Linked DNA regions of Arabidopsis thaliana. The main gene of each other region encodes a partner of the protein of the gene in region 2 in a complex. Each region holds a gene or a part of one and is shown on either strand. Other genes may lie near its edges. The genes, in order: PnsB4, Pnsl5, PnsB1 and NdhS.

Region 1 (4,406 bases), on a different chromosome or scaffold from region 2:
ACGAGATTGTCTATATAATCGTATGATAGTATAAATTTTGTGTTGAAATGTGTAATGGTGTTTTTTGGTAACCGAAAATTGAAATGTATTATTATGAAACTGTATAATGAAAAAAAATAATTATAATGGAATATGGTAAATATGTGTCATTAACAAGTCATCAATCATGTTTGGGCCAGAATTAAAATTGTACAACTATAAGAATTAATTGACACACGACAAAATACACTACATGCAGTGATGCAGATCTTTTTTTTGTTTAAATAAAAATGTTACATCATATCTCCTGTCATGTGTTCCTAACACACACACAAAAAAAAGAAATATCTGAAAATTAAACTTAAATTTGAAAAGAAAACAAAAACAATAAACCACACGTGTGGTTTACAATTACAAGCTCGAAGAGGCTTTGAAACATGGAAGCACGAAGGTTACTGACAAAGACATGACAAGCTCTCCTTCTTCACCTCTGCTAACTTATTTTTTGTTTTTAAAGATTGATTAGTTTTGGTTTTTGTCAGGTAGAATCGTGCAGAAGCGTATTTCCCGCTAATTGTTCCTCATCAGACTCACTTTCCAGTCTATACGACCAATTAATTTAGCCCCAATTGACTAAATTTTTTATACTTAAAAATAATAAATATTCACTCTGACCAACTTGCGACCGAAGAAATCAAGAAAAGCAAATTAAGATAGTTTACCAAACATAATTATTTATATTTTTAAGACATCGGATGTCGTCAACAATAAATTTCTGAAGGAGACAATTGCTCCTAACATGATCGTTCAATGATTCAGAACACAAGACAACAAAGAAGTACATAACATATATTATATATATGGAAGCTAGAGAGTATATATAATGTTGCATGACTGATATAAGAAAATATATAATGTGTATGTAAAGTGGTTTATGATTCACAAGTTAGTTTTCTACTTAGTAACAGCTTCTTCAAGCTCTCTTAAGCCACCAACCTTCTGTTCAATTTCTTCGATAAGTTCTTCACGCCATAGCTCCGCTCTTGCTTTCTCTTCTATGTCTTCTTGCTGCATCATATAACCCAAAACACAATAACAACTCTATCCAATCTTATAATAGTTGTACACATTGTGAATCTGTGATGATATACCAAAGGTCAATGGCCCGAGCAAGCCCAGCCCGACCCAACTTAGGATCAATGTTACCTACCATCAGATCTGTTAACGTTTGAATTATTATATCAAGCCCAACCCGGCTCAAACTTACTAAGCATGATTGATCTATCAATAGGATGGATCAATGTTACCTACCATCTATCAGATTGTGACTTTCGTTTAGATGATCAAGGTTGTGGATTCATATTTTTGGGTGCATATATACCAACGGTAAACGCTAACCTAAAAGCCACCTATTTTTCTTTGTTTAGGGAGGTTTATCGCATGCTGAGACACATGGAGGAGTACTCAAAACCGGCTCTGAACAGGTCTACATGGCCTACTAAGACCAAGGTGGGATAGTCTGAGGTCAAACTAGATCTGAACTGGTCCACAGGGTCTAGTAAGACCACAGCGGGTTGGTCGGTCCATTGCAACATCCCTAGTTATAATTTGTATGCATTTCTAAGTTTTTTTCTTTCTTTCCTAATAGTATTAGAAAGGGAGAGATACATACAGTTTCATAGACCCAATATCCAGTTCCATCCCCTCCATCTCCACGGTACTCCTCTGAGTCGTAGAATGGATCCTGTATTGATCCAATATCACAAAGTACTATTAAGATCCCAATGCAGCAAATGTATCAAAAGATTCAGTTTGAGTTGTTGTTTTCATACTTTTGCTGAACCGAAGTACAAACATCCCCAACAAGTGAACATGATGTAGAACATATCTGCCATATCAAGATCAATATCAAAACATAAGAAAAAGAAGAAAAAAAAGTCTAAGAAAGAAAATAAAATCTCTCAAGAAACCCCAAGTGTTTAACTTACAAACATTCTTGATAGCTTTATCACTTAGATGCCACACGTGTTTCTCTGTAATGATATCACGCATTCCTTCTATTTGTTGAACCATCACAGCCATTAATGGCAAATCATGTGGCAATGCCTTTCTTACACATAAGCTTCCTCTCATCAAATTCCTTTCCCTCTTCTCATTAACATTCTTCTAATTTTTCAAATTCTAAGACGTAAATTCACAAGAATATGGAGATTTTTTTTCTAATTTTAGTCTTAGTTAGAGAAAATTACTTACAGATAGCCAATATCCATGATTCGGTCCTGAATTCTGCTTCGGCTACAACACAATACACAATTCTTAAACTTTTTTTCGTAATGAAATATTTTTGGTAAGAATATAAAATAATATGTACCGAGTGATTGTAGGAAGAAGGAATATGAAGATTTGTGAAGGTGAAACTTGTGAAAGCTTCAGCCATTGTTACTTCTTGATGGTGGCAATGGAGAAGAAAAAAAAAAAATGTTGGTGTAATCTTTTTTATTTTTTCATTTATTTTAATCTTTAAGATTAGATTTTTTGAGGCAGAAAATGTGTGGATAAGGGAATTGGTATCGTCCACTCTTCACTTTTGTGATAAACAAAATAAAAAAATAACGTACGTTAGCAATCACATCGCATAACACTTTTTTTGTCTTTTAAAAGCCCAATTTAGACAATCACAGTACACATTTTAGCCTTCTAAAACGCTCAGGTTGGGAACAACTATTTGCCTTAAAGAGTGGTAAAGATATTTCCAGCAAAATTCAACTACAAACTTTCGTATTTTACCCGTCCAACAAACTTTCCATTCGCGCAGGTTAGCAATCACTAAACACGTTCACTCCTCTAGACGTGCAAGTTAGTAACCACACTAAAATTGCTAATAAATCTTTGGTTGGTGAAATTCAAACTTTCCGCTTATGTCTCTTCCCAAATACATCATTTGTTGAATAGCGTACGTTGGCAACTATTGCCAAACTTTTAATGATATTTCCATCTAATTCAACTTCCTATGCGCGCATGTTAGCAATCATCCCAAATACATCATTCGTTGAATAGTGTATGTTCTATTTGCCAAACTTTCAATGATGTATATCCATCTAAACCAGCTTTTATTCGCGCATGTTAGCAATCACAATAACACGTCTACTCTTCTTAGCGACTAGTATTTTGTCAAAAGTCGGAAGAAAATCTCCGGCCAAGTCAACTTCTATCGCTTTAAAAAGCGCATGTTAGCTATTAAAAAGCGCACGTTAGCATCATTTTCGGGAAATTGCTAATCAAACTTTCCACTTTCGTCTTCTTCCCGTGTATATCTTTAATCTCCTCTGTTTGGTGACTATTATCCAATTTCCACCGATCTTCTCCTCATAAAAACACCTCTTCCTCAACGAATTTTTTATCCATGAGTCGCATAATGGGATTGTTCGATCTCGAGAAACACTTCGCCTTCTACGGTGCTTACCATAGCAATCCGATCAACATTCTAATCCACATCATCTTCGTTTGGCCAATCTTCTTCTCAGTTTTACTTCTCCTCCACTCGTCGACCCCAATTTTCGACCCCTCTCAATTAGGGTTTTCTCAATCGTTGACCCTCGACGGCGTTTTGCGATTTAACGTTGGGTTTATATTCGCCTTGATTTATGCTCTGTTCTATATCGGTTTGGATAAGAAATCTGGATTTGTAGCTGCTCTTATGTGTTTCTCTTGCTGGGTTGGTTCCAGTTTTCTTGCTGTTCGACTAGGATCTTCTCTTGCCTTAAAGGTTAGATTTTTTTTCTCTAATTTCAATTTAGGGTTTTTGAAAAAACTTCATTTTTGGAGAAAATAATTGCGTAGAAGCATGTTTATGAGGGTATATGACTATGTGTATCCATGTGTTGCTCTATGTGTATATTTATATGATGTGAGTGTGGTTCATGCATTTATTGTTCATTGTTTTCTATGCTTTGACTTGAAAGTTCGTTTATATCATTGGTTATGCTCGGGGAAGAAGAAATAGATTTATTTATATCATTAGTCCTCTCTATCTGTTGTCTATGGGTCCCTTCATTAGCTGTTAACGTTGAGACAGCAGTACTAATATCATGTCTCTAGCTTTGAACATTCATGATTAGTAGTTATTGCAGTTTGTTCTGCAATTGTCCACCTTTGCACGGTTCTGATTCTTTGGTCCGGAGACTTGTCATGTTTTTAGTGTTGTTGACTCATTGGTTAAGAGGATTTGATGTGTGCTTGGACGGAAACAAGTGTTGTTCTTGACCACCAACATTTGGATGGTCTCAGATAATTAGAATCTACATCACTTGTTTAACTAAAGTTTGGTTTTTCTTCCATAGTATTTGAGACATCTGTAACTTAGGAGCTTTTTTATGTATCTTCTGTGTTGTGAATCATTTGATTAGTTTATATGTATCTTCAGTCTG
Region 2 (4,803 bases):
TCTTTTTTTTACATTGATAATAGATTTATCTAGGATTCAAGCTTTTTCTACGCCTCTTTTTACAGCTTTAATTTGTGCAATTTGGTTATGTACCATTTAATAAATAAATAAACCAAAGGGGTTTCTCTTATTCTCTACAAGGAAAATGTCTTCTTTTTATGGTGTGCTCTTCTAGTATTCAGAGATATCTTGTATCTAGAAAAGGTTGACCAAAAAGAAAGAACACTAAAATACAAACATGTGATAGGTACAAGTAATTATATTGTTCATTAATCTGAAAGCAGACTTTATATACAAATTGATCGGATACATGTTCAACAAGTCCGCTGTAGCACACATGCCAATTTCACAACAGAATTTGAAATCCGGGCTCAAACCTCGGCAGCGTAATACTTTTTGGTTCAATTAGTTAGTTTTCAATAAGATATCAGACTTTAAATACAAATCACTCATATACAAAACCAAAAAGTCCGCTGTAGCACACAGGCCAATTTCACTACTCAATATGAAATCCGGGATCAAACCCCGGCAGCGGAATACTTATTATTTTAATTAGTATTGTTTTCAATAAGATATCAGACTTTAAAAACAAATCCCTCGTATATAAATCAAACAAGTCCGCTGTAGCACACAGGCCAATTTCACTACTCAAAATGAAATCCGGGATCAAATCCGGGCAGCGGAATATTTTTTGTTTCAATTGTTGTTCTTACTTTTTTATGAAGAGATCGGACTTTAAATACAAATTGCTCGTATACCAAACCAACAAATCCGCTGTATTACACAGACCAATTTCACAACTGCATCGACTACTCTTGAATCTTCAGATTTTGTATCTTAGTAATGCAACTGAACCGCTATAACACAATGGTTAATTTCGAAACAAACCAATGAAATGAAATATGAGTTCAACACCCGGCAGCGGAATACTATTTCTTTCTTAAATTTTTGGAAGAAGGGGATACAAATCCATTACACAAAAGAAAGGGTTGTAAAATGCAAAAACAAGCTCCATCTCATGTCTACAAGATTTTGGTTAAATGATCTTACTTTTAAGCTTCAGACATTGGAAGTTGACCACAGTCTGCTATCACCACTTTCTTTCTGGGACGGTCTCCTCTGTCTGTCTCTTGTTCCTCTATCAGCTTCACCACTTCCATTCCTTCTATTACTTGCCCGAACACCACATGTCTTCCGTCCAACCATGACGTCTGTCCACATCGTTATCGCATATTAATTTGATATACACTAAATTTCCCAACAAAGCTTGGATGGTTCTTCGTTTCCAATTTCAAAACTCTACTCTTTAGGTTATATTATTGGATTCTATATACTGTAATACCTGTGTTCTTTATTGTTGATGCTCGCTTGCCTACGTATAACTTCTAATTTAACAATAGGCCTTAACCAGAGGGAGATTTTACCTTAATAGTGCAGATAAAGAACTGACTTCCATTTGTATTAGGGCCAGCATTTGCCATACTTAGAACTCCTGGTCCGACATGGGATACTGCAGCGTATAGCACATTATTACTTTCATGAATTTTATAAAACTGAAGGTTTGGTATATATTATACTCAGCTCAGCTAAAAAGAGAATGCAGAAATGTTTAGTTAAAATGCATTACCACTGATAAATATGAATGCTAAAGCACAGCTGGGGAGAATGAAGAAGAAGGAAACAAGTGAAAAAGGATAGACTTACACTTGAAATTCTCATCCTTGAATGTACGGCCATATACACTTTTACCTCCAGTTCCCTGCTCAACAATTAGACTTCTGTATCATTATTATGGAATTCTCCTAGCAGTTACTAGAAGAATCTTCGGTAACTGAGATGGGCAGAAACAGAAAATAACAATATATTTCTACCGAGCTACAGCTAGTTGCATACCCACGAACCAGTATATAAGTTCCCTACAGCCCAGGTATTATCTATATAGAAAAGAACAAAAGTCTAAGATTAACAGGGGTTGTTCTTCTAAAGCCACTGATCTACAAATCAGAGAGCCAGCTATCAGAAAGATTGTCTGTAGAAAGCTCTCCAAAGGTCAGGCTTTTTCCTATTAATGTACCCAAACATGTGCTTTCAAGAGCGACTCTAAATCCGTACAAGTAAGAACTTAAGCATCCTTCCTTATCGAGAAAGATTTGACTTATACTATGTACCACATCCAAGAAATTAATAAACATCCTGCCATCCTGATATGAGACAGCTTACTTTACTTTGTGATTTGGCAGAAAATAAGATGAACCAAAGTAAATCAAAAGAAACATAATATGGACCGCAAGTCAGCTAACAAGAAACTGGTGCTGCCAAGGAATTCAGCCAGAAAAACTCACATTGCCCTTCTCAAAGTCTCCTCCCTGAATCATGAAATCTCTGATGACACGATGGAATGTAGAACCCTTGTAGCCAAATCCCTTTTCACCTGTGCATAGAGCACGAAAGTTCTCCACAGTTTGGGGAACATCATCACCATACAATCCAATAACAATCCTCCCAGCTAACTTCCCCACTGGATTGCCAACACTTATATCGAAATACACCTTGTGTGTTATTTTCGATTGCGGTTCAGTAACCACCTGGAATACAAAATCCACATCATATTATGATTCCATAGCTTTTAGTAAATCTAATGGAAAAAAAAAACTAAGAGTAAGCTGAATAAAACAACCAATTCCATCAAATGACATCAGTGACTAACAAGATATGAGAGAATCCCTAACCTCAGCATTGGATTGAACAGAGAAACAGCGGTGGTTTCTTTTGGTATAAGACGTGTGAAGGAGGAGCGATGAGGCGGAGAAGGGAGTTGAAGACGAGAACGAGATTGAATCGAAGGAAGATTTGGTGCGCAATCGGAAAGAGGTAGATGTGAAAGCGGAGGTATTGATCGGAGAAAGTCTTCGTGGAGGAGCTGAGAGCGACTTCGGATTTGACTATGATGATAACCGAAAATTAGAGCAGGAGAAGCAGAAGAAGCGGAAAGGTAAAACAAAATCAAAAGTACAAAAGGGAAAAATTAAACGCACCAGAGTCATCGACAAGGTCGCCATTGGAGCTCAAAACTCTTGCTCGCGTTTGTTGGCAAAAATGGTAGGTGAAGGTGAAGGTGACGATGAGCGAGTGATAGCACGAAAGAGTCTGAGAAATACATTCCATGGTTATTTACAGTTATGCCCCTGCCGGTTACGTGGCTTCGCATCGAGTCAATTTTGAGTGGGTCAGGTCAGCCGATCCTATGAAGCATATTTACCTGTGCAAAGTGCAAACAAAGAAAAACTCATCGTATCAAAATGACACTAATCTCATAAACTAAAATACAAACCTACTATAAGAAAATAGTGTGTTCACTATTTCTGATATTTATTTAATATAAGAAAATAAAACCATAAATACAAATCAAAAATATTTTTTCAAAACAAAATATGCATCGCGCGGAAATTAACCGAGTCATATAAAAAAATTATAAATTAATACAGTTATAAGATTATATGTTGTCATTCATTACGGAAATAGAAGGTAGAGTTGATCTTGGGCTCAAGCAAGTAAAAGGCATCAACAATATTTATATAGTAGTAAACGACATCAATTTTTTTGTACCATGTATAATTTAACGGTTAAACGAAATATAGTTCAGTGTTAATTCCGTATAACATGAATTGGTAACATGCTCAATTCTCAAGACTGATTATTTGCAATTTTTTTAAAAAAATTGGGCTTTAAGCTTTTTAAAAAAAATCTAACTTCATGTTTTAATCCATATTATTGATACAAATTTTCTCTTAAAATTAGTATTTATATGGTAAAATTTTGAAAACATATTGGAAATTTCTTAGAAGTTACAAAAGTTTAGTGACAATATGACGAAATTTTTCGATGAACAGTTCTAAAAAACAACAAAATTGTGTAAATCTAAAGAATATTTATTTCAAAAAGGGAGAAAAAGAGGGAATGTCATTTGTTACTAAACAAAATGTAATAAAGTTATAGTAGAGAGGCTTTAGAGCAAGTTAAAACTAATTAAACCTTGTATCTGAGACCAACTCCAACGGCAGCCTCTAAGGGGCTTTTGAGGGTTGGTCCCTTGAATTATATAGCCCAAAATAAATTAGAAATCAGTTTAATTGAGAGGGTTGTTTCTCTCTTACGGTATTTTTCAAACAACAAAGGGACCCTACATGGCAAACTTCTATTGGTGGAGAGGGAAGAGAAGGAAAAATATGACCCAATTTTTTTCTTTTCATTTCGGTTGAATTGTTTTCATTTCGTTATTTCCATTTACGATGGCGATGTCAATGTTGATGAAAGATGATATGTGTCGAGCTCCTCATCATAGGGCGTAATAATCAAATCAAAGACTAAATTGAAAAAAATCGTTTGGTGCATCTAAATTCATACTACCAGAATCAACCATCTCTTCACAAGTTATTTTAACTACTCTACAGATATGTCTTCAAATCTCGGTAATTTTATGGTCTCTCGTGCTCGAGTTCGTGATCGGGCTATGCATCAACAATTGAAAGGTGATTTGGTTGAGCATATATAACACAAATTTGGTGGGAATCAAACTAACTACTAATTGTTATTCCGATTCTCAATATTCATTTCTTGTAGGTTTAAAATTTTAGTATTTGTATTAATTATTAAATTTTATAAAATAGAATATTTATAATTTTCATTTTAATAATATTTTTTACTATAAGAAACTCACTAAAAATTTCTACCATTAAACCAAGAAAAATTAAGAGACCAACAAAATCTCTTAAATTCAAATCTCAAATTTTAAAATTAAAAAAA
Region 3 (4,764 bases), on a different chromosome or scaffold from region 2:
ATTGTGCGTGAAGGAGACCCCGTTAACGAAATGATGTTCATAATCCGAGGCCGGTTAGAAAGTGTAACAACAGATGGGGGAAGAAGCGGTTTCTTCAACAGAGGGTTGTTAAAAGAAGGAGACTTTTGTGGTGAAGAGCTTCTGACATGGGCTCTTGACCCTAAAGCAGGCTCAAACTTACCTTCTTCCACAAGAACAGTGAAGGCTCTGACTGAAGTAGAGGCTTTCGCTCTTGAAGCTGAAGAGCTGAAGTTTGTAGCAAGTCAGTTTAGGAGACTTCATAGTCGACAGGTTCAACAAACATTTAGGTTTTACTCTCAGCAATGGAGAACTTGGGCTTCTTGCTTCATCCAAGCTGCTTGGCGTCGCTATTCAAGAAGGAAAAACGCTGAATTGAGACGGATTGAAGAAAAAGAAGAAGAATTGGGTTATGAAGATGAATATGATGATGAGAGTGACAAGAGGCCTATGGTTATCACAAGAAGTGAGTCTTCTTCTAGACTGCGTTCAACGATATTTGCATCAAGATTTGCTGCTAATGCATTGAAAGGGCACAGACTTAGGAGCTCAGAGAGTTCAAAGACCTTGATAAATCTGCAAAAGCCTCCGGAACCTGATTTTGATGCTGAATAATCCAATTCTTGATGAGAGGCCAACATCAGAACAGAGACTACATAACTGATTTATACACATAAATGCTCTATATATAGAACTTGTTTCAGAAACTGTAAAGTTATCTACACGAGAGCCAATGATCCTTCAAAGACCTGCATTGCATTTTTAACAGTTCCAATGTCGATATCTGCTAGTTTTCCAGTCTTCGAAGCAATAATTACACAGTTACTCTTCTCTTCTGCATACGGTACAAAGAGCTTCCCTTTCTCTTCTGAAGAGAACAACCCAATACTGGAAGAAAAAGAAGCACACACATGTTAGTTCTTGAAAACATTGAATCAGTACTCTTTATATTACTCAGGTATTCACCATGGTTTGTCTCGCGCATTAGCTAGTTGAATCGCAGCTGTGTTTGTTGCGATGACTCCAGCAGAATCGTTTATCAGAGCAGCCAACTAAGTAAGCTCAAGAAAAGGAATCAAAGTAAGATCAGTGAATTCAACTTTGTTCATAACAAATACAGACAGATAAGCATGCATACCTGTCCTGGTGTTGTGATGAACACTATAGATGTATCATCACCCACAAAATCTTCAACGTTTTCTCTTTCTTTCTCATGTGGAATCACAAAGACCGGCTTGAATCCCCTGGCATTGTTCACAATCATATCTCAGAGAATTTCAAACTAAGCAAAAAATTCACATTTTGAAGGTGTGTAATAATTACCTTACACCCTTTATAATCTTAGCCCATTTTTCAAGTGAAAGTAAACTATCAGCATCTCCTTTTGATTGCATTGATGCCTTAGAATCTGATTCAATACCATGAATCACTATAAACTTCCCCGTCACTGCTCCAGCATTCCTATACTTTGCAGCCACAACCTCTTTCACTTTCCGTGAAATCGATACCCTAAGTGGCAACAGAGGAGTCCTTGGAACACTCCTAAACGGTCTTCCTAACCAATCTTCCATCTGAGTATACCTGAAACCATCAACAGTCAATTTAGACAGGCGATAAAAAAACCTGCAGTTTCTTCGGTTTCAAGGAACTCACATGCTATAACCTAATTCTGAAAGGTTGGTATTTTCTGCTGTAAAGGTCTCGGACAGCATCAGACCAGCTCCTGCAGAGTTAACATTCGGGTAAATGTAACTAACCCTGTCTCGAGCCGTTGTCATGAACAAGAACGCTGCGTGGCCTAACCCTGCTAGCTTCGTGGACAGAACCATGTCATAGTACCTTCCCTGAAACATGACTTAAAAGAAAAGTTAACTAAGCAGTCTGATAAAGGAAAGATAGAAAAAACGTTGAAATATTTGAAAGTTACAAACTTTGAGGAGTCCGATCATGTCTGTGTATTCAGCTGGTTCAGGCCAATGATCATCCGGATCATACACATTGGCCCATCTCACGTTTTTGTTTAGCTCGTATGTTTGTTTTCCTCTTTCAGTCGTTAATATATCTACCTGAACACCAGGATACCTTACAAAACAACAGAAACGTACGGACAATGTTCTGCATTTCAGTTTAAGGTTTTAAAAAAATGTCGAATCGGAGACAGAGTCTTATACTTTTATTACCTGTCTTTGATTAGCTGAATAGTCGGGAAAAAGAGTAGATTCTCGTAAACGCCACCGGAGATAACGCAGCAACATCGTCTAACATCTCCTCTGATTTTCAACGGTAAAGAAGCAAGCTCGACGGTGTAACCCTTTGGAAACTTCAAGAAGCCGTAAGGGTTATCAGGATTATCCGGTGGTCTTGGATCCTCGTCTTGTTTTCCGTCGGCAAACAAGGACCCGTATTCGTTATCCGGGTCTTCACCGCTATCAAACGGGTCGAGCCACGGATTATTCTTCTTCTTGAGATTGACCGATACATCGGAAGATCTCGACGTAAGACGAGTTTGAAAGTTGAGGAAGACGAGTGGTTTGGAGGTAGAAAACGGCGGCGTTTTAAAGAATGGGGAAATGGGTTTGGGTAACAGAGGAAGTGAAGAAGCCATTGGAAGGTTTTTTTGAGCCAAAGAAAGAAAAGTTTGGATTTTTAAATGTTGTGAAAGAAAACAGATCTCTGTAGGAACTTAGGATAAGTGGGTCCCTTTTGTGGCAATTTTCCGACCATAGAAGAAAACTTAGCATTTAATTTATTTATTTTGGTTATGGCAATTCCAGAAATTATTCTCTGTTCGATTAATTAAAACTTTTGTCTTTACATTGGTTGATACGCACGAGCAAAGAAACATTCCTAATCTCAGAACTCAGAAGCATTAACCAACTGATTACAGTAAGCAATTAAACCATTTAACTTGTCGGGTCGAGCAATAAGGACCCGTTTCATTGTCGGGTCGAGGAACAAAAGAACAGAAAAAGCAGAAGAACCAAACGATGACGTGTTAAGTCGTGACTGGTGAATGACCTTTTCTCCTCGTCTCTCTCTCTCGATTTGATTCGTTTCGTCGTCGATCAGAAAAAGCTTCTTTCTTTCTTTTTTTTTTCTGGGTTTTTCTGAAGTCAAAAGCTTTTTTTTTCTTCATTGTTCAAAGATTTTATTTTGTTGCTCATTGTTTCTAACCTTGCTTTTCTCGTGAACACAGCAAGCAACTTGGTTTAGTTTTACTAGAAGATTCCTAAAAATGAGATATTTAGCGGTGACAAAAAAGTTTCATTTTTGGTGCTAATGTAGCTGTAAAGTCTAGGCCTTCCGATATATAATCTCTTGAAATAAGTTTCGAGACTGTTGGAAATAGCAATTTTGTTGTTGTTGTGTGATCCAGTGATAGATCTGTGAAATCAAAAAGCAGTTTTTTGTGAGAATCGGGTCAATGTCGGTTCCTCCTAGATTCCGGTCCGTAAATTCCGATGAGCGAGAGTTCCGATCAGTTCTTGGTCCTACCGGGAACAAGCTGCAGAGGAAACCACCGGGGATGAAACTGGAGAAGCCGATGATGGAGAAGACCATCATCGACTCAAAAGATGAGAAAGCGAAGAAACCAACTACTCCGGCTTCACCAAGGACGACTCTGAAGCAATGCTCGTCTCTTTGCTCTTCGATTTTGAGAAAGAATAGTGCTTCAATGACTGCTTCGTATTCCTCTGATGCTTCGTCTTCGTGTGAGTCATCGCCTTTGAGCGTGGCGTCTTCTTCGAGCTGTAAGAAGGTTGTGAGGCGAAGTGGGTCTGTCTCTTCTACAAGGAAGCTGAGTGTTGGGAAAGAAGAAGAGAAGGTTTCTGGTGATTGCTTCGCTGATGGTCGTAAAAGGTGTGCTTGGATCACACCTAAAGCTGGTAAGCATCAAACTTTCACCTATCACACATTGCATAGTGAGAGAGCTTTTGACTTTAGATGCATTCAAATAAATGAAATGAGTGAAAATGTGAATGTGAGATTGAGTTTAGCCTGATTGTGTGAGATGATAAAGTTCTTATCTAGTTGAATCAAATGGGACTGAATTGAGACAAGGAGCTAGTGTTTTTTGTTTGATCTAATTATGTTCTTCTGTATGTGAATATTAAGTAATTCAATGGCCAACAAAATGTTTCAATTGCTATGTATTTTATTCAGTGAGCATTGTGTAGATCATTTGCTATGTTGCATAACTTATGAAGTAGCTTGTCCTGAAGTTCTCTTATAAATATTTTAACTTCTCAGTGTCCATGAAATTTAGATGAAGGATGTTTTGATTAGCTGATAGATCCACTTCGTTTATGCTTTTAGTGTAAGCCAAACAGCGTTTTCTGGATTCTCTATACTAATGAGCATAAATGTTTCCATGCCAAGAGGCACTTTCCATTATTCTTTGTTGTTCTCTCATGCTTCATATCTTTCTCTGCTGTAAATTGACTAATAATGTTGCGTTTTTCTACGTTGTAAAGACCCGTGCTATGTTGCTTTCCATGACGAAGAATGGGGAGTTCCTGTACATGACGACAAGTATGTGGCATCCTCAACTATTTTCCTTCTATCTGAGATACACTTTGTAGTTATAAGAGTCTCTTACCGCTTGGTTAACTTGTGTAGGAAGCTTTTTGAGTTATTATGCCTCTCTGGTGCTCTAGCCGAACTCTCATGGACCGACATTCTCTCCAGAAGACATATACTCAGGTAACCAAACCAAGTTCTTTAGTAATATGAATTTTGAATTCG
Region 4 (3,406 bases), on a different chromosome or scaffold from region 2:
CATTGAATCGAATCGTGTTTGTTATCAAATCTCGAATCATTATAGAGAAGCTCTTATGTTTTTTAGCTTTTGGTTTGGGTAATCATCTGTTTGTTATGCGATTTACTTTCTGGCATTGCAGCTTCAGAGGGAAAGAGTCAGGTGGCAAATGAAGCTGATACATTGTTCTTCTCCAATTTGAACAACATCCAAAAGACTACTGGCGGGAAGGCATCATCGCAGCCAAAGCGCACGCCAGTTTCAAACGAAGAAATGGAAGCCATTTTGGTATGTAACTTCATTTTGACATGTATAACAACACTTAGATGAACATGTATCTAACAGTATAATGTGTGACCAACTACTAAGTTATAATTATGTGACCAATTACAAGTTGAGAGAACCCTTTTCATGATTTAATAATATTGTTCTGTTTCTAACTTCCTTATCCTTTTCTGAATTTTTTTTACAGTTGGGAGGCTGCATCTGATCATTTCAACATGATCTGTTGACAAGAATGGTGGATCACTTCTCATCTTTACCATTTACAGAATATACTCGATAGTCAAGAAGAAACTGATATGGTTGATGTTTACAACAACCAATGATAACAATAAAACTACTCCATTGCAGTTTTTAACTTCTATACTGATTCATCATTGATTGAGTGCATTTGAATCTCTATTATTAAGTGCTTTATGATTGAAATTCATCGTTTATTCTTTTTTTTATATCACATGATGAAGCTCTTTTAGAACCAGTCAGAAATATTGTAGCCTAAAACGCAAAGGTACGTTACATATACATTCACAGGAACTTACATACAGAGAAGAGAAGATCACTTATGGTGCTGCCTCTTCCTTTTGCATCTGTTCGATAAGAGGCTCGAGAATACAAGACTTTGGATTCTTACCCGGTGGACCTTTTTCTCTTCGTTCAAGCTCTTCAAGCCTGAAAGTAATGAGACGGTCCCAGTTTCCTCCTTCGAACAAGACACCAGCTTTTCCATCAGTGATCCTCTGCACAATTCCACAATACATGTGATACGGACTGTTCTGGTTCTTGACTATAGCAATCATCCCCGGCATGAGAAGGGGTAGCTTGGGCGCTTTCGGCTTCTTATCTGTAGCAACCGCGGATGCATCGCTTCCTTGTTTTGCAGGTGGTGGTGGTGGAGGAGGTGGTGGATTTTTTTCGATAAACGTTTTTAAACCCTTTTCGCCACCGGGAAATCCTCCTGTGAGACCCATCATCTCTTTCTCGAAACCATCTTCAGGTACTTTAAAAGACAAGTTACTGTCATCGCTCTCTCTCTCTGTCTCGTTGTTCTCAGCCTTTGATGTCTCTTGCTCGTCTTCAATGTTCCTCTGGAGCTCCTTCTCAATACCTTTCTCTCCGTTGCATAATCCTCTTCCTCCCATCACTTCCCATAGATTGAATTTACCCATGGCCTTTACTTGATACAGTTTTGACTGCTGTTTTGGAGGCGGGAAAACCGACCGGTTTACAGTTGAAAATTGATGTGTTTGGCCTAGAAATTTTGATCGATGAATCGGAGTTCTAATGGTCGGGATAGTGATCGAAGAAGTCGCCATAACTATTTTTGCCTGCAGAGTAGAGTAGAGGTGACTAAGGGAGATATGAAGAAGATGGAAGAGGAAGGAAGAAGCGTGTGATTGATTCGCTTGTTATAATGACCACATATCATGATTTCAGTTAGATGAGTTCTATCTATTTCCAAATTACCAGTGGACCTGAACCGGTTAATGCGTAACCGGTGTTTGGAATAATGATTTAGGAGAAAGAGTAGGAACATTTGGGCTTTGTCATAAGTTTAACCTGGACCAAGTTTGAATATTCTTAAGAGATATGGGCCTAGATTAAAAACAATGGTAATGTAATTAAACATATTGCTAAATGCTAATAATGTGGATTTGTTTGTTTATTAAGAAAAAAGCAGCAAGAAGAAGATAAATCATTTGGGTCAACGACATTAATAATTGGAATCCCATACTCCCAAATCATAATTAGACATACACTTTTGTCTTAGGCTGTCCTTTACACTCATCGGCATCACCAAATACTTAGTTGGCAACTTTGATCAATTAATGTATTAAGCATGAATGAAAACAACTTTTACATTGATTCGATAAATTCATTATATTGTAGATAAGATTAGTCAAAAGTTTACAAACATTCGTTAACAAATTACAAAACTTGTAATATCTGCAGCAATGCCCATGTGGGTAGAGCTGGCTGACGCAACCTAACCGGGGGATAAAAGCGTCTTTTTGGTACCAAATTTAAAGTTTCTTTATGAGTAAAATTCCCAAACCCAACATCTTCTTCCTGCTGAAGCAGTAAGCACTCAACCAAAAAACCAATTGCGTAAACACTTTCCCTTGAATACAGAGATCACATTCGATCAGGTAAAAACAAGGTCTCGATCTTCTCTTCAGTCAATTTTTTCAAATTATTCGAGGTTCCCGTCATTCGATTCCGACTTCCGAGCTTCTATTTCTGCTCAATGTTTTTGTATTTTGTTAGGGTTTCCAGAAAATTCGATTCTGTTGTTTTTAATTTGAGCTAATAAAATCTAGAATGGGAAAAAGAAAGAGTTCATTTTCGTCCTCTTTCTTTTTGTAGAAGCTGAACTTTGTTTTTCTTTTACAGCGAGCTGATTTCTCACAAGGGATATCAAAATTTCTGGTGAAGTGGGATTGTAAAATTCGGCGTTGAAAGATATATAAAGAGGTATGTTTGATCCTCAGTGAGGAATAAGGATTTTTAGTAGTTATATATCTCTCCAAGTGATGATACATACATACTTGTGGATTAGATCTATGATAAGAATAAGCATAAGATAGAGACTGAGAGACAAGTCATTTAGGGAGATTAAATAATGTTCATGGAATGCTAAAGTTCATATAGGAGTTTGTCTCATATCAGAATCTAGATTAGATCATGCTCAGATGACATCTCTTGAATGGACAAAAAAGTTTTTAACTATGTGATTTTTTCGACTTCTTTTGGGGAATCAATGTACTACAAGCTGAGAGTTTTAGAGTAGTTTCATCTCTGGCTAAGCTTTGATTCATTTTCTAGTGGAAGGTTCTGGAGTCGTTTCAATTCATGGATGATGGTACTCCTAAGAAGCTAAACATATTACCTGATCACTTTAGTGCTCCTAGTCCCACAGCAGAATCTTCTCAGCACGATACTCCATCATCTTCGCAGCCAAAGGACGATAGTTCTCTGAGGTAAATTGTTAGCGAATAAATATGCTAAGAAGGGAAATTCTGAGCTGAAATGAATTGTTTTTTCGGGTGGTTTTGTTTAGAGTAGGCCTTATAGCCAGTCACGGACTCGCAGAAACCTGAAAAGAGCAGCAACTATGTTGAATTTGTTCACTCTTCGCCGTCTGCCT

What was found.
Region 1: Pnsl5 (region 2) and PnsB4 share a complex: the UniProt entries of both Arabidopsis thaliana proteins name them as parts of the chloroplast NDH complex.
Region 3: Pnsl5 (region 2) and PnsB1 share a complex: the UniProt entries of both Arabidopsis thaliana proteins name them as parts of the chloroplast NDH complex.
Region 4: Pnsl5 (region 2) and NdhS share a complex: the UniProt entries of both Arabidopsis thaliana proteins name them as parts of the chloroplast NDH complex.

Annotation. Positions count from the first base shown.
Region 1 is NC_003070.9:6,458,635-6,463,040, reverse strand, and holds PnsB4 (NDH dependent flow 6), read right to left. Parts: upstream 2,639-4,406; 5' UTR 2,417-2,638; coding exon 2,351-2,416; intron 2,275-2,350; coding exon 2,233-2,274; intron 2,198-2,232; exon of another isoform or gene 2,146-2,197; coding exon 1,968-2,145; intron 1,868-1,967; coding exon 1,812-1,867; intron 1,724-1,811; coding exon 1,652-1,723; coding exon of another isoform or gene 1,577-1,651; exon of another isoform or gene 1,198-1,576; coding exon of another isoform or gene 1,192-1,197; exon of another isoform or gene 1,048-1,191; coding exon 934-1,047; 3' UTR 697-933; downstream 1-696. Other genes in the region: AT1G18720 (ER membrane protein, putative (DUF962)), read left to right, coding at 3,383-3,745. UniProt on the Arabidopsis thaliana protein: NDH shuttles electrons from NAD(P)H:plastoquinone, via FMN and iron-sulfur (Fe-S) centers, to quinones in the photosynthetic chain and possibly in a chloroplast respiratory chain.
Region 2 is NC_003076.8:4,161,662-4,166,464, forward strand, and holds Pnsl5 (cyclophilin 20-2), read right to left. Parts: upstream 3,263-4,803; 5' UTR 3,060-3,262; coding exon 3,036-3,059; intron 2,943-3,035; coding exon 2,730-2,942; intron 2,586-2,729; coding exon 2,343-2,585; intron 1,760-2,342; coding exon 1,705-1,759; intron 1,511-1,704; coding exon 1,425-1,510; intron 1,212-1,424; coding exon 1,053-1,211; 3' UTR 713-1,052; downstream 1-712. UniProt on the Arabidopsis thaliana protein: NDH shuttles electrons from NAD(P)H:plastoquinone, via FMN and iron-sulfur (Fe-S) centers, to quinones in the photosynthetic chain and possibly in a chloroplast respiratory chain.
Region 3 is NC_003070.9:5,487,173-5,491,936, reverse strand, and holds PnsB1 (NDH-dependent cyclic electron flow 1), read right to left. Parts: upstream 2,793-4,764; 5' UTR 2,624-2,792; coding exon 2,199-2,623; intron 2,101-2,198; coding exon 1,950-2,100; intron 1,863-1,949; coding exon 1,672-1,862; intron 1,600-1,671; coding exon 1,342-1,599; intron 1,263-1,341; coding exon 1,157-1,262; intron 1,071-1,156; coding exon 985-1,070; intron 907-984; coding exon 738-906; 3' UTR 634-737; downstream 1-633. Other genes in the region: CNGC7 (cyclic nucleotide gated channel 7), read left to right, coding at 1-633; AT1G15970 (DNA glycosylase superfamily protein), read left to right, coding at 3,443-3,905, 4,494-4,551, 4,639-4,722. UniProt on the Arabidopsis thaliana protein: NDH shuttles electrons from NAD(P)H:plastoquinone, via FMN and iron-sulfur (Fe-S) centers, to quinones in the photosynthetic chain and possibly in a chloroplast respiratory chain.
Region 4 is NC_003075.7:12,419,772-12,423,177, forward strand, and holds NdhS (NAD(P)H-quinone oxidoreductase subunit S), read right to left. Parts: upstream 1,694-3,406; 5' UTR 1,575-1,693; coding exon 822-1,574; 3' UTR 643-821; downstream 1-642. Other genes in the region: AT4G23885 (uncharacterized protein), read left to right, coding at 122-267, 452-469; AT4G23895 (Pleckstrin homology (PH) domain-containing protein), read left to right, coding at 3,112-3,239, 3,325-3,406. UniProt on the Arabidopsis thaliana protein: NDH shuttles electrons from NAD(P)H:plastoquinone, via FMN and iron-sulfur (Fe-S) centers, to quinones in the photosynthetic chain and possibly in a chloroplast respiratory chain.